2 linked regions of the Stegostoma tigrinum genome follow. The protein of the gene in region 1 interacts with the protein of each later gene in a pairwise test. Links are inferred from orthologs where the notes say so. Each region holds a gene or a part of one and is shown on either strand. Other genes may lie near its edges. The genes, in order: mid1 and ubtd1b.

Region 1 (12,958 bases):
GGGACCACTGTTGTTTGTGATACACGTAAATGATTTGGAGGAAGGTGTAGGTGGTCTGATCAGCAAGTTTGCAGATGACACTAAGATTGGTGGAGTAGCAGATAGTGAAGAGGACTGTCAGAGATTACAGCAGAATATAGATAGACTGGAGAGTTGGTCAGATAAATGGCAGATGGAGTTCAATCCGGGCAACTGCAAGATGATGCATTTTGGAAGATCTAATTCGGGGTGATCTATACAGTAAATGGAAAAGTCCTGGGGAAAGTTGATGAACTGAGAGATCTGGGTGTTCAGATCCATTGTTCCCTGAAGGTGACAACACAGGTCAATAGGGTGGTCAAGAAGGCATATGGCATGCTTTCCTTCATCGGATGGTGTATTGAGTACAAGAGTTGGCAGGTCATGTTGCAGTTGTATAGGACTTTGGTTTGGCCACATTTACAGTCCTGCATACAGTTCTGGTCGCCACATTACCAAAAGGATGTGGACGCTTTGGAGAGGGTGCAGAGGAGGTTCACCAGGATGCTGCCTGGTATGGAGGGTGCTAGCTATGAAGAGAGGTTGAGTAGATTACGATTATTTTCATTAGAAAGATGGAGATTGAGGGGGGACCTGATTGAGGTCTACAAAATCATGAGGGGTGTAGACTGGGAAAAAGCTTCTTGTATCCACCCTGAGTGGGGGACTCAATTACTAGGGGTCACGAGTTCAAAGTGAGAGGAGGAAAGTTTTTAAGGGAGATATGCATGGCAAGTTCTTTACGCAGAGGGTGGTGGGTGCCTAGAATGCGTTGCCAGCGGAGGTGGTAGACACAGACACGTTAGCGTCTTTTAAGATATATCTGGACAGATACAAGGATGGACAAGGAGCAAATGGACACAGACCCTTGGAAAATAGATGACAGGTTAGACAGGATCTCGAGCGGCACAGGCTTGGAGGGCCGAAGGGCCTGTTTCTGTGCTGTAATTTTCTTTGTTCTTTGTTCTTCTTTGAGTGAATCTAATTAACGCCCATTTGACATTCAATGGTATTAGCATTATTGAATTTCCCACTTTCAACATTTTAGGAGTTATCATTGACCAGAAGCTGAAATGGACTAGCTTTATGAATACTATGGTTACAAGAGTAGGTCAGAGCCTGGGAATTTTGTGATGATGAACTCTCCTCCTGACTCCCCAAAGCTTGTCCACCATCTCTGGGGCACAAATCAGGAGTGTGACGGAATATTCCACACTTGCTTGGACGGTTGCAGCTTCAAGAACCCACAAGTAGATTGACACCACCCACGACAAAGGAGCCTGCCTGTGTGGCACCACATCCACAAGCATTCACCCCCTCCACCTTTGCTGTTTGGTAGCAGAGTCTGTACTATCTACAAAATGCACTGCCATAACTTAGCAAGGCTTCTTCAGCACTTTCCAAGCTCCTGACCTCTACTACCTCGTGGGACAGGGGCAGATGCAATGGGAACAACTCCAAAAGTTTCCCTCCAGGCCACGCACCAGTCTGGTTTGGAAATATATTGCTATCTCTTCCTTTTGTGCTGAGCCAATATCCTGGAACTCCCTTCAAAGCAGCGTTGAGAGCCCCTACGTCCCAAGGACTGCACAGTGTGAAGAACTGAGCTCAGCACCACTTTCTCCAGGGCAACTGAGGATGGGCAGTAATGCTGACCCAGCCTGAGACACCCCACTCTTTATGAACAAATAAAATCAATTCTGGAATTTAAGCATCTCCTGTTATCACTTAAGCATTTTACAGGTCATCTTCCTGTTTGTCTCCCTTTTCATGTTCATGTATATGTTTTTGTTCATTTGTTTGTCATTCTTCAGGCCACTCTTTCTCTTTGTTTCTGCAGTTTATATCAGTTAGTGCCGACAAAGAGTCAACATTTGAAAATTTTCACTCCTCTGCATCGTTCCCATTCTGACTGATCACAAATCCGTACAAAGCTGCTCAGGATATTTTTCTGTAGCAAATTCAAATTTCACTTCTCACGTTGTATTTTCTTGCTTTGCAGCCTATGGGTGGTGTTGGCAATGCTAGCATTTACTGCCCATTCCTAGTTTCTGTGAGGCGTCATGGGGCGGGATGCCGTGCGAGGTGTCTCCACCTTGAACAGTTGGGAGTGTAGGGTTGGACATTAATCCTGGAAATTTCAGTACATGACCTCTTACCCCAAAATGCAAGTCTTCCCCATCCACTTTGTGAAGAATGGACAGAAGTATTCAATTGTCATTCAGTGATTCCTATCAATTGTCTTTGATTATTCTTAGATTGTTCACATTTAGTGTTTAGAAGATTAAGTTTAAATACCTAAGGCTCCAGATTGATCCTGGGGATGCTTGCAGTCATGGCTTGGACATAAATAATATTTTCGACTTCCCACATCCTACAACACACACCCTCTGACACACATGGATACACATACACATACACACTTCAGAGTGCTAGATATTTAAAGATTTCAGTGCTGTGGCTTTAGACACAGTTCTGTCGCAGAAAGTTTAAATACACGGCAGTACATCAGGCAAAATAAGGATCCTGCCAATGCCAGCAATGTTTAACCCAGTCAATCATTCATTTCAGGTTGAGAAAACAGCCAGTTAATGGTTTATGTCAGTTTTAATAAAGATCTACAGTGGCCAACTGGAAGATGGCAGACCACCATTCCGTGAAACTTAATGGATCTGTGCAGGGGTAATTTGCTGTGTTGTTGTCCTTTATTTGAACCAATGTTATAAGTGCACATTGAGCATGTAAAATAACAAGAGAATGGGTCAGGAAATTCTCCCACAAGGGACCAACTAGTCAGTCACTTTCACACAGCTCTCACAAGTGAGTTTGTACCGTTGTCTCAAGACTTTAATAAGAATAAAACGTAAGAAGTAGATTTCTTTTTATTATGCTGCCAAAGGGGTTTTCGTTTGGGCAAAGGACCATTTTATCAATGTGCATTACTGTTGTTTGCCAGTCTCAATGCAGTAAATCATCATCTAGTGCTTCACTGGAGTGAACTTAGAAAGAAAACTCAAACAGCCACATAAAAAGACAGCAACACAGGTGACCGAAAGCTTATTCAAAGTGGCAGGTTTTAATAAGTGTCAAAAGGAACAAAGAGAAAGAGGGTTTTAGGGATGTAATTTCAGGTCCTGGGGCCTCGCTAGCTAAAAGCATAGCCATCAATGACTTTAGGGGAGGTGTGTGAAGCCAGAATGGGAAGAATGCACTTATAGAGTCATAGAGATATGCAGTACAGAAACAGACTCTTTTTGATCCAACCCGTCCATGCCAACTAGATATTCTAAATTAATCTGACCCCATATGTCAGCATTTGACCTATGTGCCTCTAAATCCAAACCTATTCGTGTACCCATCCAGGTGCCTTTTAAATGCTGTAATTGTACCAGCCTCCTCCACTTCCTCTGGCAGCTCATTCCATACATGCACCACCCTCTGCGTGCAAGAGGTCTTGGGTCCCATTGTAAATCTTTCCCCTCTCACTTTAAACCTATGCCCACTAGTTTTTGCACTCCCCCATCCTGGGATAAAGACCATATCCATGCCCCTCATGATTTTATAAACTTAACTAAGGTCACCCCTCAGCCTCTGATGCCCTAGGAAAAATAGTCCCAGCCTATCCAGCCTCTCCATATACCTCAAACCATCTAACCCTGGCAACATCCTTGTTAATCTTTTCTGAACCCTTTCAAGTTTCACTATATCTTTCCAATAGCAAGGTGACCGGGATTGTGTGCACTATTCCAGAAGTGGCCTAACCAATGTCTTGTACAGCTGCAATATGATGTCCCAACTCCTGTACTCAATGCACTTACCCGAAAAAGGCAAACGTACTAAACGGCTTCTTGTCTACCCTGTCTACCTGCAACTCCATCTTCAAGGAACTATGAACCCACACTTCAAGGTCTCTTTGTTCAGCAACACTCCCCAGGACCTCACCATTAAGTGTATAAGACCTGCCCTGATTTGCCTTTTCAAAATATAGCATCTCTCATTTGTCTAGATTAAACTCCATCTGCCACTCCTTGGCCAATCGATCCATCTGATCAAGGTCTTGGAGAGTTGTAAGAGAAGATTTCAAACTTCAGGAAGTTGAGGCCAAGGGAGGGATTTGAAAATTAGGGTAAGCGTTTTAAAATCAAAGGAATTGCTGGAGCAGATACCAAGTTTACCAAGGCCTTTGTAGCAAAGGCAGATAAATGGAGTTGGGCTGAAGATCAATGATTAATTAACTGATGAAAGGCGCAAGATTCAAGGCGTTTTCTACTCGAAGAGATACAAGTTGATTTAACTGCACTTACTGTTACCATCAGTCATGACCACACCAAGAAACCATTTTAGAATCTGTGCAGCAAAATAAAGACACTTTCTTGTCAGCACTGGTAAGTTTATAAAATGACCCCCATAGTGCCTTTGTTTGAAAATGCTGGACTTTGGTTCAAGAAAGAGAGAGGCATCAGGATAAGGATTTGAGCTGATGCTTCCTCACTTTTACCTCTGGATCAACAGCTCATGGGTTCATGCCCCACTCCAAATACTTGACATAATAAAGGCTAATAAACAGGAGGAGAAGTGAGGGAGTACCATACTGTCAGAGGTGCTGTCTTTCAACTGAGGTGTTGAGTCCGAGGCCCTGATGACTTTCAACCAGCCACTACAACAGTAGTAGACTCGTCAACTTTAAGAGCATTTAAATGGTCATTGGATAACCATATGGATGATAATGGAATAGTGTAGGTTAGATGGGTTTCAGATTGGTTTCACAGGTCGGCGCAACATCGAGGGCCGAAGGTCCTATACTGCGCTGTAATGTTCTATGCTCTATAAAACATTCTGAGACACCATTCACAGCAGAGTCACACTCAGTGCCTTGGCCACTATTTATCCCTCGACTAGCGTTGCAAGCCAAAATTAGCTGGTCACTATCTCATTCCTTTGTTTACCATAGCTGGCTGTGCACAAATTGGTTTCCTACATTTGAAAGGGGCGACATTCCAAAAGTAGTTGTAAGGATGTCCCAAAGTCTTTTACTGCCATGAAATTCAATTCATGAAATCCCCTTCCTCTCCGATCTCTCCTTCCTCACATATCATCTTTGCCAACTTGTCAAATCTCATGGTGCAGAGGAGATGCCTCATTTAAATCTTCGAATTCCACCAGCACTTGCAACTCAAAATATTTTAACACTCAAAGTAATTTCTTATGAATTATGCGATGCAGTTAGGGATTAGTGGCACCTCCGCCGTTATGATTTCTTTCGGTTTACTGCTCTGGTAAATTAGAGGGGGCTTTGTGGTAGCTCAGAACAATCAAAGGTCATGTTTGGAACAGTTTGAGGTGAGGCGAGAATAATCCCAGGCTCAAACTGTTTTTTAAGTGAAAAGGGGTTGACCCTCTGGAGTAACTGAAGTGAGAAATTTTGATTGGTGGGACCCCCCAACCCAATGTGAAGCCTGTTACTGCGTTGATAATGTGATCGTCACATTGGCTACCCTTGTAAGGTTGGAAATGTGGATTCATAGCCTTCACACTGGGATTATACACTGTACTGTCACACAGCCTGCAGCACCCAGGGGCTTGTTTCACGAAGAGACCCTTTTTGAACCTAGAAACTGCTGTTGTAATTCTACACAATGTTTGCAGTGATCACTGTGCTGACTGTAATTGTCGATAGAGAGAAGAACATTTTCACAGAAGTGATGGCTTCTTTTGAGCTACTATTTTAGCCCTCAGTAAAATCTTACCAATCTTGCTGCCAACTCGTTTGTAATTAACGATGCCTAGAGCTACTGGGCTGTGCGTAGTTCCACTGATTTTGTTTTTCTAGCCGCCACCCTTCCCACAATCTCGCTCTCCCTCGCTCACTGTTTCCAGCTCACTAATGAGTGCCTAAGCCCCCGCTAATGAAGCAGTGTTTTTTTTTCGGGAAAGGTTAGGAGGTCCTGCAGCAGGACAGGGCCTGGGGGAGGAGAGGGCGCGCAGCTGCCCTCTCTAATGCTGCCTCTGGTGAATGGAGCGCACAGCTCGGATGTATCAGTGTGTGCAGAGGTAGAGGGTTTCTGCCTGACCGAGCTGTCTGCCTGCAGCAGTCAGTGGCTGTCAAACCGGGCACCGAGCAGTGGGTGGGGGGTGTTACTGCCCGGCCAATGTTCAGGGGAAGCCTTCCTGACTGTGCACAGTGATGGGCAGGGGGAGAGAGGGATCGAAATACTTGGATTGTGCGATGCAGTGGCGATCTTGCACACCTCAGTCCAGCTGGCTCGTAACCGCGATGGGTTGCGTTGGGGCTGTAGCGTGGCAAGGGGCAGAACCCGGGCTGCAGCGTAAGTCGGCAATCTCCCTAAATTGAGCCCCGCGTTTCTTTTCCCCCCGCATCACCCCCCCCCTCACTTCCTCCATCCAGCACGTGCACAATGTCGTCTAATCCAATCCTGTGTTGCCTTTCCAGATAGCTCGCCAGCTTCCCTGGATTTTGCTGACGACACAGGATTGCTTTGCCTGAAGATGGAAACACTGGAGTCGGAACTGACCTGCCCAATCTGTCTGGAGCTCTTCGAAGACCCGCTGCTTCTGCCGTGCGCCCACAGCCTGTGTTTCAGCTGCGCCCACCGCATCCTGGTTTCTCACTGTGCGTCGAACGAGAGCGTGGAGTCAATTGCTGCCTTCCAGTGCCCGACGTGCCGTTATGTCATTGCCCTCAACCACCGCGGTTTAGAGGGGCTGAAGCGTAACGTCACTTTACAGAACATCATCGACCGCTTTCAGAAGGCATCCACGGTCAGTGGTCCCAACTCCCCGGGCGAGAGCCGGCGCGAGCGCCCCTTCGACGGCAGCGCCATGACTGCGGTGGAGCGCATCCCGTGCCAGTTCTGCGAGCAGGACCCCCCGCGGGCGGCTGTGAAAACCTGTGTGACCTGCGAGGTCTCCTACTGCGACGGGTGCCTGAAGGCCACCCACCCGAGCAAGAAACCTTTCACCGGGCACCGGCTCATCGAGCCCGTGCCCGACTCGCATCTCCGTGGCCTCATGTGCCTGGAGCACGAGAGCGAGAAGGTCAACATGTACTGCGTAACCGACGAGCAGCTCATCTGTGCTCTCTGCAAGCTGGTGGGGCGTCACCGAGACCACCAAGTGGCAGCACTCGGAGATCGCTTTGAGAAAATAAAGGTATGTGGCTTTCACTCCGACCTTTCAGTTCTCTCTCATCTGTCTGACGGAGCATTCCCAGAGGGTGGAATGTGTCGGATGTTGCCTGCTTGCACTCCTGCGAAGCACCTAGGAATGCTTCAGCGCATCGAGGGCGCTACATAAATGCATGTGGATTTTTGTTGCAGCGCAGCCTGGCTTAAGCCCGCAGTCGACTTGCGTTAAGAGATTGCGACCGACGAGCGGGTGCTTCCCATTGTAACCGAGCAGGGATTGGGAAAGCCGAGAGTGAAGCAAGCAGTTTGACTGGTGCTGTTTTTGCAGAAGGGGATCCGCTCAATCGGAAAGACATTAGAATCGGAACGGAGTCAAAAACCTTAATTGCAGTTCACCGCATAGAGATTTGTCCCTCTGTTTTTAATTTTTAAAGTAAGCAAAAGAACAACAAGGAAACATCATTGTGTAGAATAATATTGTGTTAAAAAAGTTGAAGCTTACCTTTATGAGACTCAAATGAAGGTTTATTTTCAATTGTGCAGAGATCACTTGTGTACACACTTTTTTACCTCTTTCTGGTGATTGACCAAATCATTTGCAATGGATAATTCCTATCTTCTCTTCTGTTACATCTCTGACAGTCTCGGCACAGTGGCTCAGTGGACGGAGCTGCTGCCTCACTGCACCAGGGATCTGAGTCTGATTCCAGCCTCAGGTGTCTGTGTGGGGATTACATATTCTCTCCGTGTCTGTGTGGGTTTGCTCCCACAGTCCAAAGATGTGCAGGCTAGGTGTGTTAGCCATGGGTAATGAAGGGTTGCAGGTTGGGGATCTGGGTGGGATGTCCTTCAGAGGGTCGGAGTGGATCTGATGGGCTGAATGGCCTGCTTCCACACTGAGGAATTCTATGATCAGTTCTGACTCTGACTAATGGTTTTACATTCTCTGGGTGTAAAGGAAATTTGCTGCACTGTTCTGAACCCAATGGCAGATCACAGTTTGCACACTTTTGGATCTCCGGACAGTTTTAGTCACAAATACCGATGCCCACGGCATAGAAACAGATTGTTATGCTCTACAACAGCCCTCACCCACCTCATCATGTTGGGTTCCCAACCCTCCTGTATTTTGCCCTTATTTGTTCTTTGTCAGAGTGCTGGTGAAAATAGGGAATATTTGTTCTCCTACCAATGTGCGCCAGGCTGCAATCTGCCCCTGGCTGATTCCGCTACGTGGTATGATTCTTCTGAACCCAGACAAATGATGTGACCCCCCTACTCCCTGCAGAACCCATCCCCCCTACGTAACCCCATCCCATAAAGGGTCATGGAAATCCAGAATTGACTCTACAGCAGCTTCAGAAATTGGCCTTTGCTGGAATTGTAAGATTTGGTGGGGTGGGGGGAGCCATTGCTGATCGGCAGATTCTGGGGGGGCGTAGGGTGTGGGGCATTGGGATTCAGTTCTGTGGCTCCTGTCCCTTGCCAAGATGAATGGCTCCCTATGAAATAGCCTCTCAAGCCTCCAAGTTGCATTAAACTGCTGCAACTTAAGGAGGACACCTACCGCCCCTCAGGGAATCCAGGGGCAATGAAGGCAACTTCGTCAATCATGCTCGCATTTCAAGATTGAATTTTAAAAGAAAATATCCATCTCTGTACAATGAGTTGCTTATCTTTCATTTCCGCCTCTGCTAAGTCTGTTCCTCCTTATTCCAGGCTATCACTTCCTGAGCTCTCACTGCTGTACTTTCTTTCACATTTTTTACTTTGTATCCCAATTGGCTCTTTTCCTCTCACTCTTACTCTCTGTCACCTCTTCCAGGATTCTTTCTATTTGTCATACCCTGCTGACTTTCCAATGCATTCTATTTTTTTTTTTGCTTATCCTCTCCGTCCCTTCCTTGAGTGTCCTTTTTCCAAGTTTCATAACTCCCGTCCCCAATTTTGATTTGAGTAATACTTAGTTAACGCCTCCTCATGGCACCGGAGCATTCCAAATATTGTAGCTCTCCAGATAAATCCTGCAATGAATTGAGAGGCTGTGGCCATTTCGGATGTATGACACAGCCTTGTCCAAAACAAACTGTAGTATAAATAATCAGATCATCTACTGCAGTGATGTTGTGGAAGGGATACACTGGGCACCAGAAATCCTCCTCATCTTCACGTAGCATAATGGGATTGTGTTTGTTCCCGTCCAAGAGGGAAGACAGGGTCTTGGTTTAATGTCTGATCCAAAAGGACAGCCCCTCTGACAGTACAGCACTTCCTCAGTACTGCACTGGTGTTCCAGCCTGCGTCTCGTGCTCTGGAGTGTGACCTGAACACATTACCCCCATCCCATCGTGAGGGGGCTACCACTGAGAAGCAACTACTGCCTTCATTTACTGAGAAGCTCCCATTTATTTGTCATGTTCTTCCATATTTCTGCCTGATGAATAAGGCTGGGAGTTGAAAATGACCAGCATGATAAATTTGGAAACTTAAATGGCAGAGAGTGCCATCAATTGTATTGCCTGTCTATAAATATGATTCAACTGAGTGCTGTTATCTAAGTTCAGGACACTAAAAGCTTTTCATGAAGCTGAGGTACATTTTTATGAAAGTGAAGGCATTTTTACATCTTAATTCATTATTAAGTATTTTCAATACTGACTAACAGCACTTTTGAAACATGTTGCATTCCTTGGCGGGGGGGGCTCATCCTGAGCTCATTTCTTTTTTCACAAGGCAAGAAAAAGTACATGTTCTCAACTGTTCTCAGTATGTTGAGCCTTTGGCCCAGCGCTAGTATTCTAGTCTCTGAGGCAGAAGCTTTGAGCCTTGAAGCTAGAAAACTCTTACAATAAGATCAATGACTCTCTTCTCCTTTTGGTGCCTTTCTTTTGTCGAGGTTTGAATATATCGTTGCAGCAATCCAGGAGGATTTAGAAGTGTGTAGTGTTTGGTCGAGGGTATGGTAGATGCAATATAACGTGGAAAAGTGTAAGGAGGAGCAGATGTACAGAATATTTTGCAAACGCTGATAGGCTGGCAAGTATAAATGTACATTCCTTGTCAAAAAGTCACTGATGGCTAACATGCATGTTCGATAAGCTCTTCGGCAGGATAATGGAATGTTAGCCTTTATTCCAAGAGGATTGAGAACAGGAGCAGTGGAGTCTTGCTTCAACTGTGGAGAAGTTAGGCTTGACTGCACATGGAGAGTACTGTGTGCAGTTTGGTCCGCTTTACCTCAGGAAAGATTTTACCACTATAGAGGGTGTACAGCAAAGATTCACTGTACTTGCTCCCGGGGAGGTGCGACTGTCCTATAAATAGATGGTGACCAAACTGGGCCTGTATTCTCTCTAGAGTTATGAAGAGTGAGACATAATATCATTGAAACCAAAAGGAGCAACAGGGTAAATACATATGTTATTTACCCTGGTTGGAGAGTCTGGAACCAGGGGACACAATTTATAAATACGAGGGACACCATTTAGGATTCTGTTTAATCCTGACAGTGGCAAATCTTTGGGATTTTTTTCCCTGAGATGTATGTGGAAGCTCAGTTTTTCAATATGTTTAAAGGAGTGGTTGATCATTTTTGTTCATCAATGACAAGGTGTTACAGCGCTCATGTGTGTAAGTGTTCAAGCAATATGATGAAGACCCAGATGATCTTCTGGGGACCTGGGCTTGAATCCTACCATAGCAGATGGTGCAACTTGAATTCAATAAATATCTGGAATTAAGAGTCTCGTGATGACCGTGAATCCATTGTTGATTGTTAGAACAACCCATCTGGTTCATTAAAGTCTTCAGGGAAGGAAACTGCCATCTTTACCCAGTCTGCCCTACATGTGACTCCAGACCCACAGCAATGTGATTGACTCTCAACTGCCCTCTGGGCAATTAGGGATGGGCAATAAATGCTGGCCTGACTAATGATGCCCTCATCCCATGAATGAATGAGAAAAAGATTGTATTAAATGGTCAAGCAGACTCAATGGGCTGATTGGCCTACTCCTGTTCCTACAACTAACAAATGAAAGCCTGGATTAGTTATATGGAAAATGTATTTGATTGATTGAGTTCTTTGGAGTAACAGAGAGGGTTGATAGGAGTGGTGTGGTTGATTCTATGTGGCATAATTTAAACTCTGGAATCAAAGGAATAGTGGCAGTGTGAATACAAAATAGGCTAAGAAACAGAGCAGAGGCAAAACTACTTCATCCAATCCAAAGGAAGTCAAAGTGGTGCTCCCCAGGTGAAAGGAATACTTTGTTAATACATATGTATACACTGTATTATTGATTTGGACTCAGCTAAACATGGTGTTGATTCCAAGTTTGTAAATGACCCGAAATTCAGAAATATAACTAACAAAGCAGAGAATAGTCACAGGAGGACATAGACTGGTGAACTGAGAAGACACGGGTTTAATGAAATTTATTATAGTGAGGTAATGCATTTTGGTCAGAAAAATTAGAATAGGCAATATAAATGAAAATGGTTCCATTTTTTTAAAAAGGGTACCAGAACAGGAGTAGGTGTATGTGTACAAATCCCAACGGAAAGAGAGATTGACACAACACCTGTAGGAAATTGACTTCATTAGAAGACACTTCAGGGACCATGGCTTTTTTTTTTGTTTTGTGCTTTTGAAAATTATTGGCAGAACTGCGAAAGTGCTGTTTTTAAAAAAAAATGTCTTAAAGCATTACTGCATTTTGTTGAAAAGTAAGTATCCTAACACCTAAGCCATGAGCGAGCAGGAGGTTGAGTTGCAGACCATTAATCCATGAGATGATGTACAGATACAGCTATGGCTGGAAAGTTGATTGGCCTATGAGCTAGTGACCTAGATTAATGGTAGAGACCTTTTCCTGTCAACAACTGTGTGGTTGGTTCTCCAATAACTGAATAGTTTAGAGCTGAGGACAATTTAAAGAAAGAAAGAGAGAAGTTTTCACTTCTTCCCCAGCTTTGGACTGGTCTCTCTATTCTCTGAAAAGAACCAGTTTATCTTCCCTGTTTTTACAAGCTGTGACTTTTAACTGGAAAGTCAGAGACCTTTTTATAAGTGAACCAGTCACCTTGTCTCTCTTACCAACCAATGGTAGTTCCTGGAGAAAGACAGCTGCAAAACAGCGAGCTGGCCAGCAGAAGAGTCAAAAGGATCATCTCAACAACAGGCCATGGGAAGACAGACTACTGAATTTCTATTATGGTTCCTCCCTTCTGCCCAGTGAGATGGCTCAGTGGTTAGCACTGCTGCCTCAGTGTCAGGGAACTAGGCTCGCTGCCAGCCTCGGGCAACTGTGTCTGTGGGGAGTCTGTGAAACCATTTCTCCCCGTGTCTGTGTGGGTTTCCTCTGGGTGATCCAGTTTCCTCCTCCAGCCCAAAGATCAGCAGGTTGTGTGAATTGGCCATGCTAAATTGCCCCATAGTGTCCAAATCCCCACTTCCTGTACTCTGATTTGTGTAGAACTGACTGCAAGGTTCTTTCAGAATACAAGCACAGACCCATTGGATCACACAACTGCCTTCTGCACTGTACAATTCTTCTTACAATTATAGGTTCTGTTTTTAATCAATAGAAATTAATACTTGTGTAATTTGGTGCAACTTCAGAGAAATGTTCATTGACATATTCAATTAATTTCTTCCCATTGAAATATGACCTTGATCATCCATTCTGGAGCCAATTTAATTCCTACTGAGTGGAGTAGCTTGTTAAATGAATGGCCTGCTACCTAAAATCAGAAAGAAAATGATAGTGTTTAATACCATTGCTGTGCTTTCT
Region 2 (12,595 bases), on another chromosome or scaffold:
TTTGAATGGTGATAGACTGGGAATGGGGAGGCAATACAACTCGATGTAGGCATCCTCATACACCAATCACTGATAGTATGCAGACAGGTGCAACAGACATTAAAGAATACATATGATATGTTGGCCTTCATAGCGAAAGAATTCAAGCACAGGAGCAGGGATCTCTTTCTTGCTGCAATTGTACCAGCCCTTGGTGAGACCACACCTGCAGCATTCTGTGCTGTTCTGGCATATTCATCAGAGGAAGGATATTCTGACAGTGGAAGGAGTGCAACAGAAGTTTAACAAACTAATTCCTGGGATGGCAGAACTGACATATGAAGAGAGATTGGATTGGTTAGGTTAGGACAGGACTATATCCACCAGAGTTGGGGGCGGGGCAGGGGGGGCGGGGCAAAGAAACCTTTAAAATTCTAACAGGACTAGACAGGGCAAACCAAAGGAAGAGATATCCAATGACCTGGGAGTCCAGAACCAAGGGCCCCAGTCCAAGAATACATGGTAGGTCATTAAGAGTTGAGAAGTGGAGAAATTTCTTCAAACTTGAGAGTGATGAGCCTGTGGAATTCACAATTGCAGAAAGTTCTGGAAGCATAAACATTGAATGCTTTAAAGGAGAGTTAGATATATTTCTTACAGCGAAAATGATCCATGGGTTAGGGAGGATCCTGAGTGGGATGATCAGCATGTTCGTATTGAATGATGGATCAGTCTTGAAGGGCCAAAAGACCTAGTCCTGCTCCTATTTTCTGTGTTTCTATGTCTCTTTAGAAATGGAAGTGTGCTTCTTTCTAAGAAAAACACTGCTTAGTCATATCAGCCCAAACTCGCAAATAAGTTCCTCCTCAGGGTAAAAGCTACCAAAAAGTGTTTATCAAATCTGTTGTTGTTCCTGAATATATCTGTGATTGCAAATAAGTAGAAAAGATATCTTCCGAATTCAAAGGTTTTCAAACAAAATATTCCTATGAATGTTGTACTCTTAGAAGCGGAGTGCACAATGCAATCAACACGTAACTCTCAGTTGCGACAAATATCAAAGATTCCACAGACTTTTTCAAGAACAGCAGCTTTGTTCACTGTGCCAGTCAATCAATAACATTCACAGAACCAAGCTCAACTGTAAAGATGCAGCAATTAACCTCAATACCAGAGTTAAGTAAGGACGGAGGTGGTGACTAACATTGAGGGCTAGCAAAACAGTATGTAAACCTGGAACTATAGTTTGAAAAGACAAGACTTGCAGAAATAGGGTGGCAGGGTGGCTCAGTGGTTGGCACTGCTGCTTCACAGCACCAGGGACCCATGTTTAATTCCAGCCCCGAGGAACTCTGTGTGGAGTTTGCACACTCCATGTCTGCATGGGTTTCCTCCCACAGTCTAGAGATGTCCAGGTCAGGTGAATTGGCCATACGAAATTACCCATAGTGTCCAGGGGTGGCTAAATTAGGTGGATTGGTGATGGGGGTGCAGGGATGAGGGGTGAATCTGGGTGGAATGCTCCTTTCTGAGTTGGTGTGGACTCATTGAGCTGAATGGCCTGTTCCCACACTCTAGGGATTCTATATTGTTACAAATGGTATAAATTTGAAATAAAAAACAAATATATAAAATAATCAGGTCAGGCAGCATTTGTGGAATATGGAACGGAGCTAATACTTTGAGTTGAATATAACTCTTCTTCCAAACTTCTTGTAGGAGCACTGCCAAGAGTCAAACAACAGAAGAAATGCTCACAAAAAAGCAAAATTACATTGTCAAAACTTTTTTGATCTGGCAAAATAACGAGGGAGCGTTAAGCGAGGCATCTTCTGGAGTGCTGCGTCCAGTCCAGGTTGCCTTGTCATAGGAAGGATATTATTAAGCCAGAGAGAGGTCAGAAAAAGTTCAGCAGGAATGGAGCATGTGAGTTATAAGGAGAAGCTGGGACCCCTGTTTCTACTGGAGCATAGGTGGTTGAGGGTTGACCTTATCGGAGCTTATAAAATCATAAAGGTGATGGTAGGTGTCTTTCCCTTGAGATGGGGGATTTCAAGACAAGGAGTGGGGGGGGATATCTTTTGCTGAGAGGAGAAAGATTGTTTAAGAAAAAAAGAGGGGCAACATTTTTGGCACCGAGAGCTATTCTTGTTTGGAATGAACTGCCAGAGAAATTCATGGATGTAGGTAAAATTACAATATTTAAAGGACATTTAGATAAGTCCATGAATAAGACGGATATGGACTAATCGCAAGCGGGTGGGACTAGGGTCAGCATGGACTGGTTGGGCTGAATGGTCTGTTTCTGTGTGGTATGACGATGACTGTGACAAGGGAAAGTTTTTTTTCCAATTTGTAATCTAAGTTTCTCCATCCTGTATATATTACTAATCGCAAACGTTATTATTTAATTGAGATTTCATAACATCCACATTTTTAAGAAGTGCAACATACATCAGTGCAACATTAAGAATAGATTGCTGCCCCAAGGCAGAAATCACTGGTGGATGCGGTGTTTAAGAGCCCTAAACTCCCAGCCACAAGGAAAGTTAAGTGAATCAATAATTTTCAAATCAATACCACATTACTGCTATCTGTGAAATTCCAGTAAAGCATGCCATTATTTGGAATTCAAAGGTCTTATCTATCATTGACTGTTTTGCTGGATCCAGAAGCATCAAGTTCCTGCAATCAATTTTAATGAAAGGTAATTTGACACTTTGAAACCGATAACCCATCTGACATAATAGCTTTTTTTTTCAATGAGAATAATGGGGAAAGTCAGCGAAAACAAATAAATGAATTCACTACCAATAGACAAATTTTAAAAATGCCATTTTTAGTATTTCTAGCTAAATTGCAAGAACGGTTATAAAATTGTTAAATGCTTCTCATTCAAAGTGACAAATGTTTATTTTCCTCTCCAATTTTCTCTGTTTTCCCAATAAAGTTTGCTCCCCTAAATTAACAGTTCCTCAGAATCTGGTTCTAAACATGGCCATTCTGCATTAAGGACTGCAGTACTGAGTCCAAAGGAACATAGAAGAACACATTCTGGAAGGATCATGGGGTCAAATGTAGAAAACAGAATTTCAGTAAAACTAATTTTATCCACCTGGCTTTGAAAGAATCAGCTTGCATACTTAGATGCAGCCTGAAATATGGGATCAGGACATTGCTTTATCACAATCAAAAAAAACTTAGAGAAGAGAGCCTCAATCCATTTAGATATTAAAAACCCAAAATTACTGTCACTAGGTTACCAGTGAGGGCAATTCTGTCTCCTTATTCAACGAAAGATATATCTGTATTCAAGGGAGTGCAACAAAGATTTATTAAATGTGATTTCTGGAGTGAGGAAAATGTCCAAAGAGGAGAGATACAGTAAACTTGGCCCATGTTTTTTGGGGTTTAAAAAAATGAAAAATCTTATTGGAACCCTGAAGTTCTTGAAGAGTTTTACAGGGTATATTCTGGGAGGATGTTTCCCCCAAGGGAATCACTGTTATCAGAATAAAGGGTAGGCCATTTCAGAAATTAGAAGATGCTCTAAGAATTGGCTTTATTGAAAACAGAGAAATATTGATTTTTGGATACTAAAAAAAATAAAGATAAACATGGCGGGGGGGTGTACTGTTGGATGGAGTTAGGGTAGAAAGTCTTACTGAATGGTGGTGAAGGCTCAAAGGTTTGTATGGTCACGTGCATTTTTTAATGTTCTTACATGTAAATAAACACTAAATTGGAGTTAAGATCAAAAGAAGAGTCAGACAGTTTTATATCCTATATAAAGTTTAGATCTCTAGGCTTCAACATTAGCTCAGAGATGCCAACCTCCCAAAATTGATGGTCAACTCGAGAAACTCTGGCAGTGCTGAAACATTACACTGGCCATTTTTCAGACAAACCTTAAACTGAAATTTTTTTGCCTAGGGAATTGCTCAATACTCAGCTTATTACTTGAACAGATTCCTGAAAAGCTAGGGGAGGCCTACGTGAGGGCTGTCGAGCGCAGAAGAGATACAGATTCCAGTCAGGAAACTGGGGTCCGTGCGCCGTTACCAGGGTGACACGGCCAGACGGGCGGCGCCACTTCCTCGCCCGGGACCCCTCCATCAGCAGCTCGTCCTCCCAGACAACAATAGCTGTACACAGCACCATTCACTTCCATTCCTACCTGTAGCTAGGTCCTTGGCAGCCCCGTCCTGCAACCCACTCACAAACTCCTCCACCAGCCCTAACAGCCTCATGTCGGCGGCCATGCTGCTGCACTCAACCGCGCATGCGCCACGAGCTGGATGTCACGTGACCGCAAATGGCACAGATCACATGCTCATTACTCTGCAGACTACACAGAGAAACTCCTTCACTTGACAGCTTTGATTTTAATTCTGTTAGTCAAAGGGAACAGAGACTGAATTCAATGTAGAAGATAAAACATTTTTAACGGACTCACGCAGTTATTTGGCTGTCCAAAGCTTCAGTATTGTTGAAAAAGCAGACATGAAGTAGTATAAAAATTCTTCTTTTGTCAAAGTTGATTTTTTTTTCAACAATACTCAAATCACAGAATAATTACAATGCAGAAGAGGGAGGTGGTGGTGTAATGGAAATATTGCTACAAGGGTTATCCAAAAGAGAAGGAAATGTGTTATCCTTACCTGATTTGACCTAAATGTGAGCCACAATGATGTGGTGAACTGTCAGTTTTCTTCTTAAAAAGGCAATACCAGTGATGCTCAACATCCCATGAAAGGATAAAGGAGGCCATTTGGCCTATTAATAAAAATTTTGCATTTTGTTCCATACTAATTTTGGTCTCAAATCTTCTTAACCTTTCCCTGACCTGCCCCTGTGGTTGCCTTAACCCACCAACCCAACCCCAGCAACAGAATAAAACCCACTCCTTCCTTCTTTAGTTCCTTAAAGAGTCACTGTATTTAAAATATTAGCCATGTTTCTGTCTCCACTGATGCTGTCAAACCTTCTGGGGTTCTCCAGCAGTTCCTATGTGTATTTAATTTAACCGATTCCCCTTCTGCCTTCACAATGTAACCCTGCACATGATGTACAAATCAGGAAGAAGAGTAGAGATAACAAAGTATAGAGCTGCATGAACACAGCAGGCCAAGCAGCATCTTAGGAAAGCTGACATTTTGGGCCTAGATCCTTCATCAGAAAGTTTCCTGCCCCTCTAATGTTGCTTGACCTCCTGTGTTCCTCCAGCTCCATACTGTATTGTCTGTAAATTTGATCAAATCGTCATTTTTAAAAAATAAATTAAAGAGATGATTATTTGAATTTGTATAGCAACAATGGAACTTTGTTCCTGAAAATGCCGTCTTTGAATATTTTTAAGAAATACCTTGACAAGTACTTTTTAAGCAAGGGAATGAAAAGTTATTGGGGTTGGTGGGAATGTGGATTTGAGATTACAATAAGGTAAACTGTCATATAATTGTATAGTAGAGCAGGTTTGAGAAGTTGACTAGCCTAATCTTCTTCCTGAGATGATAGGAACTGCAGATGCTGGAGAATCCAAGATAACAAAGTGTGGAGCTGGATGAACACAGCAGGCCAAGCAGCATCTTGGGAGCACAAAAGCTGACGCTTCGGGCCTAGACCCTTCATCAGAAATCTGTTCCTCCAGCTCCATACTGTATTGTCTCTGACTCCAGCATCTGCAGTTCTTGCGACCCCTGATCAAATTTAATTCTTTCAAAATTGCTTTAATCTTTTAAACTCGAACTCAAGATTTTAGACTGGAGCTCTGAATTAGTCAACAATTGATGTTACCCAGATTACCCCATGGTCCTTATTATATGGCACAGAGTAAAGTTTCCCCCATTTCTAGTTTCAGGGGGTCGCCTTAGTAACGGCTGGCATCCGGTTGCTAAGGAAGAGTACGCCGATGGGGGGGGCGTGGCAGGTGCCCGTGCGCGTGCGCGGTGGGCCGCGCGTCAGGTGTGGGAGGCCAGCGTTACCCAGCGTGCACCGGGCGGGGTAAGGCAACGGCGCAGGCGCTTTGGGCCGGTGGGTGTACATTGATAGTAACGTCGCTCAGGTGGGGAAAGGCTGGTAGTGGAGTGTCACTGCTGGTTCAGCTTCCGAAAGATATGGAGTGAAGCTAGACAGAATTGTATGTTCACAGATTAGACCAACTTTTGCTTTGTGACATTGAGGGAGAGAAAGCGCGAGAGAGCCTGCCTTATTGGCTGAGATGGGAAGGTTGGTGAAGCGATGAGAGATGTTGGTGTAGTTTTGCAGTAGCAGGTAAAGTAGGTGAGGGCCGACTGGTTGCCCCGGTTACGGGCTGTTACTTGGTTTGGGAGAGAGAGGAGGGGTAGTTCTGTGTTTGCACTGGGGTTTTGGGGTGGGTTAGGGATTATCTTGGATCCAAACTTTGCACGGACTGGTGGGTCTTAAAGGTGGACCGTGGGATTTCTTTTGTGTGCGTTTTTTGGGAGGGGATAGACGGCGAGTCTTTAAGAAAATGAATTCATGAGCTCCAGGGGACTTGCTGCGAGTTTCTCCCAGACTTCAGGTGGGTTTGCGGTTAGTGGGTGAGACGCACCTGGGTCAAGGGCATCATTGATGGGAGGCTGCGTGGGGACCCAACGCCGGCAACAACAACAGCAGCAACATCATCGCTTAGGGAGACGGAGTGGCAATGGGAGAAAAACAGGTAAGGCAGCAGAAGAGTGTAAAATTATGATAGCGCCCAGTGTTTCCGATTGGGCGTGCTCAGCAGGGGGCTAATGGCGTAGGACTTTTTTTCACTTTTGGTCATAATTTTAGTTCCAGCAATGCAATATATTTTCCATCGTGTCAGTGTTGTGTTAGTAGAATCGCCATCCAAATTGTAGTTCACTAAATTAATGAGAAGTCTGTTCACGCGCTGCTTTTGGAAGCTACTTCCTTATTTATATTTCTTCCATTGCTACATGGCAAGGCCCATCTATCTACTAATGTTAGATTTATGCCTGTGTTGATACTGATACTCAGACATTTATCATTTTTTCAGGATAAAAGCTCGATGTTTTAATGTAGCCATTCAGTTTAGGTGAACTTACCTTGGATATGTATCAGTGAAATTACTTGTTCTAGCTCTTTCTTTCCCACTCTCATCTCTGACCTCTGTATTCTGCCCCATGTAAAAGCTTTGTCTCCAAAGGTCTGTTTTTGCTTCCTGGATGCCAGTTTTATACCCAGGTGGGCAGGGAGATTGAATGCTGCTTGTGATAGCAGCAGACCTGCTGTATATCTGGTCGATTCTTAGACACACAGCTTGAGTGACTGCCAGCAAGTCTGGTTATCCCTGAAATAGTCAAATTCAATAAAAGCCATTTTTGGATAAATAAGCATTTTCAGTAATGTTGATAGTAAGGGTTAAAATTTTACTTTGTAGCTGGAATGTGTTTTCTTTTTATGGAATTAATTTTTCATGTCAATCTTATTTGCATAAGAAATTTATTTAACTGTTTTCAAAACAAAGTTGATTGCTTTACCGACCAGAAAAATTATTTGTTTTGCCCACCTGGGTGGCTGATATTCATGTTAACCTACACTTAAGGTCAGATTTGAGTAGACTGGCATTAGCGAACAGACCTCCGGTATCAATACCTCATTCTGCTTCTCCTATCCCAGCAGAACTTTGCCCAGTTTTTCATTGATCTACAGTTTGGGGGTCTGAGATAAGATGATCAGATTTAGTAAAGTGAATGTTAGGAGCTTGTGATTCACGCAGGTATTTCATAAGCTGTATTCGTAACTAAGTTATTTCACAAGCTGTTTTCGTCATCCTGCAATGGAGGACAAGTCTATAGGGACACACCCCACTTAATTTACCTGTAGCTGCTTCAGATGAATAGTCAACTAAAATATTTATCCAAAACAGTTCCTGGCAGGAATTTCCATATAATAAGTGAAGTGGCAATGTTCTGCAGAAAATTCAACCGGTTTATCTTTGTCTAGGGTTCACAAATGTAATTAGTGCCTGAAAAGGGAAATAATTGCCGGGTTCAGGAAAAAGCAGGGGAGGGGGTTGAGGTAATTAACTCTGGTGAAGAGTTTGCATGGAGAGAGCAGACAGTGATTTTTCTGTGCGTTGTTCTATGATTTCCAACATACATGACTATAGTCACAATAACAACACTGAATGAGGTCTCTGAGCTGACTGAGTGAATGATAGCAAAAAAAAACATTGTCTTTCTTTCCCATAGCCCAGTACTTAGTATCCTTAATGTATTTCCAATTTTCTTTTGAAGACTAATGAAGTTGTGTGCAGATTTATATCTTCAAATTTAGTACTAGTTGAAGTTGAATACCTTTGCAAATTGTTAATTGAGCTTTTTCATAATTATGTCTTCTACGAACTTTATTTGTAACATTTACATATTAGCATATTCTTTCCAGTTTTTGCAATGCTTATTTATCTTATGTTTCTACAATAATTTAAAATGATTGCAGTAAGGAAGCAGAACATATTGCTTTCTATATTGCATGACAAAAGCAACCGTATTGGGGATTATTTCCCAATCTAGCGGTCTGGTATAAGATTGTGGTGGGTGATTTGCACCAAAGTGATGAACCAAGAGCTCCATGTGGTCTAACAGATCAACCCTAGTTTTGCAATTAACTCTGAAAGTTTGCACATTAGGATACAGTCTAACAGTAAGCACCATGACAGATTGTGTGGAAGCTTAATTTGTACGTAAATCTCTTAGCGACCGTTGTAGTTTGTTGCATTTGTACCACTGTTCGTGTCTGACAGGAGATATTTCTTTTGTATAGTGGAATGAAGTATAAAAATATGATTGAGTTTTTCCAGCAATCATCTGGCAGCGTTTGTGTAGAGAGAGCCTAATTAACATTTTCAGGTCCAGTGACCCTTCATCAGAACCCGGCAACTTGATTTCCAACAACTGCAGTTCACTGGGTTCCTTTGTATAGAAGTATGAAGTTTGCAGTGTTATGATACACATTTATACACACTGGAGGCATTCAACTATGTTCATGGGGAGATAATCGTGAATGATATGTTAGTGACTGGCTTCATTAATTATAGATGATACTGTAATTGTACAGTCTAGCTTTGAAATAAACGAAAGAAAAGGCTTCTTATCCCAGGCTGTTAAGACTAATGCAAAAAGAGCTTTCAGCCCTTCATTATTAACTGATTCATCTCTTTTCCTTCTTATAAAACTAGATATGACAAATGTGTCTGTGTATCCAGATTTCACCCAATTTTTAGCAAATGCTGTTATGCTTGCATGCTGGCCCAAACAATGTGCCAGTCCAATCTTTTTGAATCAATAATCTCCTATGCTGTAAATGTCTTTAATTCTGTGATCTCACTCTGCCAAATGCCATTCTTTCAAATCCCTACTTTGCTTCTTTTCTTTGCAATAAACATTTAAAACCTGCTTTTGAAATGTTTTTTTTGTGTGCAGTGTCTTGAAAAAGTTTATTTTTATTTTATCTACGTTAATATGCTGTCTACTCCATGAATGGAAAATCAACAATAAATTAGTCTTTTGGCTGTCTAGGACTGTACACTCAACTGAATCGCTTTTGGTGAAGCTATGGAAGCATATCTGGTTTGTTTCTAGCTATCTTTTTGGTATTGGATCAGATTGGGAACAGTAAACGGTCATGGTTTGGTAGTTTATCCGTAGGATGAATGGGAACAGCACCAATTTTTAGGACTACTTTGTACCTCAGAAAAAAACTTCTGTTGTAAATTGATTTTGATTCTATAACTGTTAACCAAATCTGTTAATTCAGTTTTGCAAATGTCGCTACCCAATAGAGCAGGTCAATCTGGTGCTTAGTTTATGTGAAACATGGGCCTATGGTAAATTTATCAAAATTTTCATGATCTATACTAGACATAACAATGTTCAGTTAGTTAGAACATAGAACATAGAACATAGAACAGTACAGCACAGAACAGGCCCTTCAGCCCACAATGTTGTGCCGACCATTGATCCTCATGTATGCACCCTCAAATTTCTGTGACCATATGCATGTCCAGCAGTCTCTTAAATGACCCCAACGACCTTGCTTCCACAACTGCTGCTGGCAACGCATTCCATGCTTAATGCATAAAAACCCAAAAAGGATGTGTTAACAAGTGGAACAGTACAGCACAGAACAGGCCCTTCAGCCCACGATGTTGTGCCGACTAGTGACTATTCGTTCCAAGGGGATGTTGTGAAGCAATTCTTCTGAAACAGGGCACCACACCAGTGCTTGATTCATTCATGTTATAATGGTGTGGGGAAGGGAACACGAAGGCTCTGCACTATTTGAGCTTTAAGTACAGTACTATGCATCAACTGGCAGAGCACATGTTAATTTAAAACATCATCTAATATTCATTACAGAATACGAAATTCTGATTGGCTTGCCCTTTTCTTTGTCTCAAAATTAGAAAATGGTTGTTGAACAGAGGTTTCCATTTGAAGGTTAATTATAAACTTGAGATGTAAAATAACAATGTCAGTCATTCTGTTGTCTCTGAATCCTGTCTTTTTGTGCCTCCGCTGATGCTTGAGTAAGGCTTTAAATGTTAGTCAATCGTTTCTAATTCAATGAATTGCTCTGAAGCTTTCATTTTGGAAGTAGTGAATTCTATCGTTGAATGCAAACTTGACATTTTTATGGAAATGTATTTTTCCTCCACCAGTTGTCAATTGGAGCTTTTTAAGTGTGAATTTTGGTGTAATTGGTTTTACTCTGGAATCTGGTCTTTATATATGCCACAAGTGAAAGTAAAATGTCCTCTAGATCAATGGGGAATTATAAGATGATGGTTCAATAGACAAGTTGAAAAACCGAAGTGTAGCTGTTCAAGTAATCGTGATGCTAAATTCTGTCTTTTGATGTTTTTTCTAAAGCTGCTTCTGTCATAACTACTCATCATACTTACAGTTAATGACCAATATGTAAAAGATCCTGGATATAAAACCGGAGAGGGTTTTAAAACCCTCAGGTTTGTCACCATTTCTGGAAGTTGCAGAAACCCATTTTAACTTATTATATTGGGGTGAACACAAACTTGGATCTCATCACTGATTTTTGTTGAGGCCAACCACTTTTTAGAATGCAGTATTGAAGGTTAAGAACATAAGTGGATTGATCACTGGCCTATCATGAGTTAGCTGATTTTTTTTTTCAAAACAGCATTGGACAGAAATGGGGCAAAGATGAGACCGGATTTCTATGATTGCTGCCAACAGACCTTGTTGTAAATTGTTGTGTGGGCCTGACTCAAAGCTGAGATTTTCTGGACTGTGCTGCTTCCATAGTTGAACAGCTGAAAAGATTTGCTGTCTACCTAGGTGTAAATGTCAGCCCCATGGGTGGTGAAAAGAAAATCTGTTGCCAAGCTTGTATGGTTAACTTGTGTTGTTCCATTATGCAAAGTTGTTTGTACTTTGGAAAAGTAATCAATTACTCTAAATAGCCCTAAACTATTGGCAGTTAACACGCCAGGAATTGTAGAAGTATTGGAAAATGAAAAATTTGTTTTTCAAGTTATTTGATTTTGCTGACCTGTTGAGCTTTTAAGTACTATATTCCTTTTATATTACGCATGGAGTTTACTATTCATCTTTTTGCCTATGTACGTGAAACTTTTATTAGACTAACCAGGGAGGGTGTCATTTAAGATGTGTCAGAAAAAGCCGATTTAATGTTCCATCCAAAAAACTAATTTTTCTCAATGTTACTGCAACTTTGAAACCTTCAGAGAAATTAAATGTATTGCAATTAAATTTATTTGGACACATTTGAATAATTAATAACCAGTCACTTGTTATTTTAAAAATTGACTTTATTCTTGTTAGATTTATACTAGTGCTTATATTTCAAGTGAATGAGACAAAATTCATCTGATTTTGTTGATTGCATATAGCTTAAATCAAAAATTCCTTTATTACTGCATTTTTTTTCTTGAGTAAAGAGATCAATGGAAGGAAAGGATTTCCTGATGTATACAGTTGGTAAAATTGCCCTTCAACTGGTTTATTTTTATAAAAACTGTAAGAACTGCGGATCCTGTAAATCGGGAACAAAAACAAAGTTGCTGGAAAAGCTCAGCAGGTCTGGCAGCATCTGTGAAGGAGAAAACAGTTAACGTTTCGGGTCCAGTGACTCTTCCTCAAAACTTTTATTTGATTTTTGTGATGATATGCTTTTTGTTCTTTTCCCTAACATAGTCACTGACAGTTCTGTAACCACTGTGACTTTATTGCTTATTTTATGCTGTTTAAAATATGCCATGCAAACATGTTCAGAACATCAGATCACTTTTGTCCTTGCTCAATATGTTTTAGATCTTGTAACACAAACCTGGCAAACAACGGTTTCAGACGCAGTCCAAGTGGCAGCTCTGAAGAACTACATCAGCCTCAAGTATAAAGATATAATTGCAGCACCGTAAATAGACTTGACATGGGAGTTTATGGTCTCAAGTATCCACACTCCTTGTATTTTGTTTGGACTGCAAGTTATGTAAGCAACTGGTGCAAAGTTAAATCAGATGACGTGCGTACTAAGATGGACAAATGGCTCTGTGATGTTACTGCTCTTTTTCCACCCACTGACTTTT

The links.
Region 2: the proteins of mid1 (region 1) and ubtd1b interact in binary tests that used the Homo sapiens proteins (3 or more experiments, as listed by UniProt). The two-hybrid records come from large-scale screens. The link is inferred for Stegostoma tigrinum from reciprocal best matches to the Homo sapiens genes MID1 and UBTD1.

Annotation. Positions count from the first base shown.
Region 1 is NC_081365.1:69,804,351-69,817,308, forward strand, and holds the start of mid1 (E3 ubiquitin-protein ligase Midline-1), read left to right. Parts: upstream 1-6,292; coding exon 6,293-6,344; intron 6,345-6,469; coding exon 6,470-7,188; intron 7,189-12,958. UniProt on the Homo sapiens protein: Has E3 ubiquitin ligase activity towards IGBP1, promoting its monoubiquitination, which results in deprotection of the catalytic subunit of protein phosphatase PP2A, and its subsequent degradation by polyubiquitination.
Region 2 is NC_081373.1:12,311,798-12,324,392, reverse strand, and holds the start of ubtd1b (ubiquitin domain-containing protein 1), read left to right. Parts: upstream 1-5,987; 5' UTR 5,988-6,573; coding exon 6,574-6,664; intron 6,665-12,595. Other genes in the region: MMS19 nucleotide excision repair protein homolog, read right to left, coding at 4,157-4,241. UniProt on the Homo sapiens protein: May be involved in the regulation of cellular senescence through a positive feedback loop with TP53. Is a TP53 downstream target gene that increases the stability of TP53 protein by promoting the ubiquitination and degradation of MDM2.